Xenopus tropicalis: one gene and its partner. The protein of the gene in region 2 interacts with the protein of the main gene of each other region in a pairwise test. Links are inferred from orthologs where the notes say so. Each region holds a gene or a part of one and is shown on either strand. Other genes may lie near its edges. The genes, in order: shc2 and kdrl.

Evidence for each region.
Region 1: the proteins of kdrl (region 2) and shc2 interact in a two-hybrid assay, tested with the Homo sapiens proteins (2 studies listed by BioGRID). The link is inferred for Xenopus tropicalis from reciprocal best matches to the Homo sapiens genes FLT1 and SHC2.

What each region holds. Positions count from the first base shown.
Region 1 is NC_030677.2:105,531,315-105,534,530, reverse strand, and holds part of shc2 (SHC-transforming protein 2), read left to right. Parts: intron 1-421; coding exon 422-602; intron 603-719; coding exon 720-786; intron 787-1,204; coding exon 1,205-1,369; intron 1,370-1,694; coding exon 1,695-1,990; intron 1,991-3,216. UniProt on the Homo sapiens protein: Signaling adapter that couples activated growth factor receptors to signaling pathway in neurons. Involved in the signal transduction pathways of neurotrophin-activated Trk receptors in cortical neurons.
Region 2 is NC_030684.2:46,963,395-46,967,229, reverse strand, and holds part of kdrl (vascular endothelial growth factor receptor kdr-like), read right to left. Parts: intron 2,971-3,835; coding exon 2,842-2,970; intron 2,552-2,841; coding exon 2,445-2,551; intron 900-2,444; coding exon 764-899; intron 1-763. UniProt on the Homo sapiens protein: Tyrosine-protein kinase that acts as a cell-surface receptor for VEGFA, VEGFB and PGF, and plays an essential role in the development of embryonic vasculature, the regulation of angiogenesis, cell survival, cell migration, macrophage function, chemotaxis, and cancer cell invasion.

The DNA of each region.
Region 1 (3,216 bases), on a different chromosome or scaffold from region 2:
TTTCTATGGGGAGTCATTCTGGAAAGAGAAAATTGTCTCTACATATTTAAACAGTACATTTAATAGGGCTCTGCTTCTATAATAGCTCCTGTTTACAGTAATCATGTGACACTGATCTAATAAACAGCTAGTTTGACTGTGTTCTGGTTTTTCTCATCTCTACCCTCGTCATTCATTACTACTTCTCCTGGGCAGCAACGTCATCTCAAGTGCATTTATTTCTATTAGCAGAAAGCACATTCACATGGAAGTTCTCCAGTTTATTACCTTGGGAGCTCAGTTCACATGAAACCCAGAGGGTTCAATAAAGTTAATTTATTCATTACTATAATGACTAAAAAACAATAACTGTTGTGAAAATATTGCTACGTTACTAGGTATTCCATAAAGAATGTTTCATCTATCACACAACTCTCCATAGGTTGCTTGTGGGGACAGAGGAGCCAGCATGGGGTGGAGAAGAAGAGCAAGAACATAATTATTACAACAGCATCCCTGGCAAAGAACCCCCACTGGGGGGGCTGCAAGACAGTCGAATAAGGGAAGCAGGAGCCACTGGACAGCTTAGCACCCAAATCAATATAAATGGGCAGTGGTCCCAGGTATGTATTTTACCTTTTTCCTTATTATTTCTCCCCCCTCCCCCCCTTTCTACATTAACTACAAACAGTTAAATTGAAAGGCTTACATATAAAGATCTGCCATTTCTCCCATTTCAGGTTGGATCTCCAGCTAGAAAGCCTGCTGTATCACATTCTTGTTCACAGTGGGACCTTGAGGACCAAGGTAGGTATAGTATAAATCAGTGATCCCCAACCAGTGGCTCGTGAGCAACATGTTGCTCTCCAACCCCTTGGATGTTGCTCCCAGTGGCCTCAGAGCAATTGCTCATTTTTGAATTCTTTGCTTGGAGGCAAGTTTTGGTTGCATAAAAACCAGGTTTACTGCCAAACAGAACCTCCTGTAGGCTACTAGTCCACATAGGGGCTACCAAATAACCAATAACAATCCTTATTTGGCACCCCCGGAACATGTTTTATGCTTGTGTTGCTCCCCAAGTCTTTTAACATTTGAATGTGGCTCACAAGTAAAAAAGGTTGGGGATCTCTGGTATAAATGGTGTATTGTCAATAGCCCTGAGTGCAGGGCTGAACAGCACCTGAATAGCACCAGTTTGTTCATTACTGAATTCTTTCTGCCTCAGCACAGGCCAGCGAAGGGTTTCCACTGACTAATGGTCGGGCCTTTGGTGTACGCGATTATGAAGAACACATGTATGTAAATACACAGAACCTTGATGGTCTTGTTGCTGACAAGGAACCATACATGATTCCAGAGGATAGTCCCAAGAAGGATCTCTTTGACATGAGTAAGTGTATATAGGGAAGGAGGAATATTAGCATTTTCAATACCTGAAATAAAACTTGGTTGTTCACTGGGAATGATGGTTGACTCTGTAATAAAGAACCATTATAAGATGTATATACTGTATATGGGCTTGGGGCGGGGTGTGGGGCTTAAAAGAATATTTCATATTCTGAGCTGATTTATGATTGCTCTGTAATTTCTTACCAAGTGCTTATGAAAGTTGCCAATTGGTAAAATATTAGCTTTAAGATTTTACCAGTGTCTGAATCAGATGTGTTAAGATAACATGGTAGCCCTGTTTTCTTATTTATCTCCATTTGCTTAAGGACCATTTGAAGATGCTCTAAAGCTGCATGAGTCTTCTTTATCAGCATCTCAAAGTTTAGAAGATCAGTGGCCAAGCCCCCCAACCAGAAGAGCGCCGGTGGCTCCCACAGAGGAACAGCTGAGAGGGGAACCATGGTACCAAGGGAAGATGAGCAGAAGGGAGGCTGAAAAGTTGCTACAGCGAGATGGAGATTTCCTAGTGCGTGATAGCATAACAAACCCTGGGCAGTATGTCCTGACGGGTATGCACAAAGGGCAACCCAAACATCTTCTCTTGGTGGATCCAGAGGGCGTGGTAAGAGACTTTTTCATTATTATACAGATATAGAGGAATTGGTGTATATTGCATTTTTCCTCTACCCTAATGAACCAGAGAATCAATGGGTGTTTACAGATATACAAGTACTAAAGGAGTACAATCTTGAAGGTTATGGTGTTGGTGCTTGTATAAGTTTTTTTTAAATCAAGACACATTATCGTAAGCCACTGATTAACTTGTCAGAACAAAATGCAAGGCAGATTCCACACATTAAAAGGCACAGTCAGGCAATGCAGGTAATTTGTAATGAAGGTCAGTAGGGCTCAATAACTAAACACTGGGAAAACTGCCTATTACACAGTAACATATAGTAACAATTTAGAGATTTGCTTCATTTTTATATCTTTAGCGCACAACTCAAAGCTTATTGTAGATTGTTTGCTACTACTGTCAGTTTGCTCAGTCTCTGTAAATGAGCCCCAGTGTATCCATATAAGCAATATTTCTTACCAGGGCAGTGCACTAACAGTATCATCTACTGGTGCTAGTGGCACTGCAATATGCAGTCCCGGATTTGTGGCAAGGCCACAAAGGCCTTCGCTTAGGGTGCACAAATTTATGGGCGCCATGCTGTCCAGCCATGCTTGAATTTCGCTTACATATGGAGTACTGGGGTCTAAGCACTGGAGATTTCTGCCTGTCCTGTCCCCAGTGCTCTGCGTGCAAGATGTGCTTCTGGGGGTGGGGCGGCTGGCAGGGGGCAGCCTCTGGGCGCTCATCGGACAAATCTGGTGCTGGCAATATGAAACTATTTGCTTAAGCACACAATAATTTGATATCTAAATAGGTCAAAATCAGTGTGCATTTTAATTACAAACAAATACTTCTCTTCTTGTATACCACTAAAATTAAATCAACCCCAAACACATTATTTTGCATCATTACCTGCAACTGTACATTGCCAAATAGATTCTGTATGTAATTCACACAAAAGAAGGATTAAAAAAGTAAGCAGGTATTTCTTTCCTCTACAGGGTGGCACAGAGGTATGGTAAGGTATATGGGAAACCAGTTTATTTAAAAGCTATAGCACAGTGATTCTTAAAAGCTAGGTCTGGTCCCCAAAATGGGTCCTTGTGTTCTTTATTGCTTTCATATACACAGTGAAATATCCTGCAAATGGTATTTCAATCAGAGTAAATCGTTTTAAACCAGTTTCTGAGTTACAAAGTTAACTCTCAGACTTTGTGTCCCCACAGAAA
Region 2 (3,835 bases):
TGAAAAAAGATGATTAGAACAGTACATTTTATAAAAGAGGCTTATGACTTTTATGATATTACTACCCCCGCAAGAGCCATAGATGGAACTTCCCATAGCAAGAACAAATGTTTTGGTTTGGTCATATCCTGTACAAAAAAAATTGTACCATCCAGCTTGGATTTCCCCTGCTCTCCAAACAATTCTGCAGGAAATTGTAAGCATATAGTGGTCATATAGAGTCCATACTCCGGACATGTTCTAAGGAGATGTAATGCTATGGAAGATATTGACCATACTAGATTGACATACCAGTCCTATAATGGTCATGTTTGGCAAGTAAGTATACAACTGTACAACTGTACTGCAGCAGAGGAATGAGAATAAACAAAAATTATCTCAGTGGACATATGCCATCAGATTTTCTTTTCAAAATTCAAGCAGCCACTGTTTATATCTGTACAATTTTTATGTGTTGCTATATAGATAAAAAAGCAGCACCATGTACTCTAAGGTGAAGGAATGTGTAGGTCATCGGGGAATTCACAACTAAAGATTTACAGGAGAAAAACTCCCTTGTGATAGAGTGAGCAGGTTGGAAAAAACAGAGATAAGGACAGACATCAAAGACGTCAGCAAAGAAACTGGATGGGATAAAATCTTTAAACATACAAGTATTTTTAGACAATATTTGGATATAGAAATATTCTATAAAGAAGAGCCAACTGCATTGTTATTCTGTAACTCAGGACTTACATACAGGAGACTGTCTATTTCCACTTACCAAGGCTGAGTCTGTCACGGGGAAATTCCCACTTGCTGCTGTCGTAGGGCAGCCTTTCACACTGCTCATCCAGAGGTATCTCATCTGGGTCCATAATAATGGACAGATAACCTGTCTTCATGTCGGAGCCATGTGGCTGCAATGAAAATTTCAGCAACAAGTTTAGTCCATGAAATTTAGTCCATTAATTTAAACACATTATAAAACTTCTTGAAACTCTCAAGCTAGTCCCACATGGGGCGGATTCTCTCCCTGTGGATAAACGCACATGCAGTTTTGCGCCACATTTCGCTTAGTGTGGCTTAGATTTTTCTTAGGGACGGATTCTCACCCTGCATTTATCCGCAGGCCGAGAATCCACCCAGTGTGGCACTAGCCTTAAATCAAGGCTGAACTATTTGATAGATTTCCTCGGACAACCTTGGATTGACTCATCTAATCCGACAAGTCACATATAGTTAAACAGGTCACAAAATATTGTAACTTATTTTAAAAAGAGATCTATTAGCTACATCGATACTTTGCTATTCAATGTGGCATGAAATACAGGTATGGAAAGACCCCATGTCCCAAGCATTCTGGATAGTACATAAATGCCCCACATGCATAAAAAACAAGTAAGCATCTTTGGGTAGACACATCTATTTAGCAAACTCTGCCATGGAGATTAGTGCTTGGGACTCTAGCATACAAACTATGCTTATAGCTCAGCAGAGACTCTTCACACTGCCAGTGATAAGCAGCCCTGCAGGTACCCCCTAGATGTTGCCATAATTTCCAGTAGCAATCAAATGCCTAGTGTGTCTGAATTTGATTTACAACTGTTACAACCTTTGACAGACAACTCTTGGTTATTGTAGACAATTTATGTAAATACTAGTAAATGACATAAGTCATAATTGCAGTGGATTAAAACTGAAAGGATTTATATTATAATCCACAAAATTAATTAAATAATTATGCTTTTTTTCCTGTCATTATCATAATCCTGTTTTGTCTTTCTAGAATCTGTTAATAGAGTTTATTATTATTATTATCATTATTGTATGTGTTTGGCATAAACAGGCAGGGTAGCAAACAACTCTACTGTATGGTAATAATGTTATGAAAATGTTATTTTAGTTACTGGAAATATGTGTATAGGCTACCTATAGGTCATTTTGCAATGATAAATGGGATTTTGTAACACAGGCAACATTTGTAACGTCACACACAACTGAGCATCTGCTTTCTTTTTTCTGCCCCCCAGCAGTGTTTTACAATACATACTTATAGGTTTACTTCCTTGGGTCCTCATGCTTGTCAAAAACAAAATCTTCAGAAAAGAGGTTGGTAGAAAAACACTGAGTAGGCATGCACGAATGCAAAACAGATTTACCAATAGTATAGAATGTTAGTTGGTAGTCTGCAGATCAGTAATTCCATTCATTGTGGACTGGAAAAAGTGAACTGCCATATTGGGTGTGGCTGGCTGTCATATTCATGAAATCGCTGATGTTATCATGCCTTGCCCCTATGCACTGTGTATAAATGGAAACTACCTGCACCTGTGCAAATGACTCAAAATATGTGCCCTGTAGGTGAATTTCAAACCGAAACTGACTGTGTGATCATGGCAACAAGTCAACTCACATAAGGCTCACAAAGCTGATCTACGTTTAACTTGAAGGCAATCACATACCTTTTTCAGCTTTCGTATGAATAAGGTAAGAAGTAGCCAAAACAATGTGGCTGCCACCCCTGTACAGACGAGGATGATCACTTCGATGTTTGATTTTTCCTCGACACCTACAATGAAAGGCATACTAATCAATTACAGATAACAAGTAAAATGTTTCTATTTTGTTGGCTCTGCAATAATCCAATGTATGAATACATTCAATAGGGTGCCACTGAGAAACCAATATGTCAGGACACTTGGCCATAACTTGCTGTAGAAGGGAGCTGGGTAAATCACCAAATCGCTTTTTCTTCCTTATGCCCCCTCCTGTCAGATTTCATGAGTATATAAGGACATTGCATATTTAAGATTAGAAATACTGGCCCCTTAGGTGAGACTGTTCTGCTACATAGCATACCTTGTACTGTAATGAAGGCAGATGTACTGACTTTCCCCAGTTCATTCACAGCTTCACATATATATACCCCTTCGTCATCCTTCTTCACCCTCTCAATGACCAGAGTGCTATTGTACACAAGGGTAATGCCTGCAAAATGGTTACAAATATAAAACTTTACATGGGAACTCATATGTTATCTGACAATATATAATGATGAACTCTATCCCACAAATAATTAGCTTTATGCATGTTTATGGGATGTAGCAACCTTTTTTCAAAGAATAACCTTGCCATTGTATAAAACACAAACAATTGTTGTGGTCCATAGGACCACTTATTAGTAAGGTTTTCTATGAAATGTATATCTTTATAATGTATATCTTTATAATGTTATTGTATAGCAGTGCTGTGCATTTCTATAACACTTCTATTGACAAAAAAGTACATTATAGACCAAAAGAAGGAGCAAAGTCAGGACTATTAGACTCTGAAGCAGACACAGAAACATGTATTTTTATATGTGCAAGACAAAAATATATTTCAAAGAACAGTATTTCCTTTTGTTCAGCATCAGTGCAATGAAAAAATGGCTTGTTGACCATTGTTTTAACCATAAAAATGTATGGTTTTTGTTATTCTTTGAGCTAAACAGGGAAAAAGGTTTTGCCAGTTACTCGAAAAAACCCCCAATGAATTTAGAAACTACCTTTGAATAATTATTCTGAATTATATTTAATATACATTTTTACTGGTCAAAAAGGTGTTATTAACCAATATTTAAACTGAAGCAACTGGGACTATCAGAGAATACGAACCCAATATGGAGGGGTGAATCATTTGTATGGGAAACATGGTTAGAAGAATCTATTGGACTGTACATTTTGTGATAAATATATTAGAAAGTTATTTATAATTAGTTTTTTTTCATTAGGCCAATATTTTGGGTTCACTGCTCCTTAAAGGTGTGGCTCACCTTTCAATTAACTTTAAGTACAGGTATGGGATCCCTTAT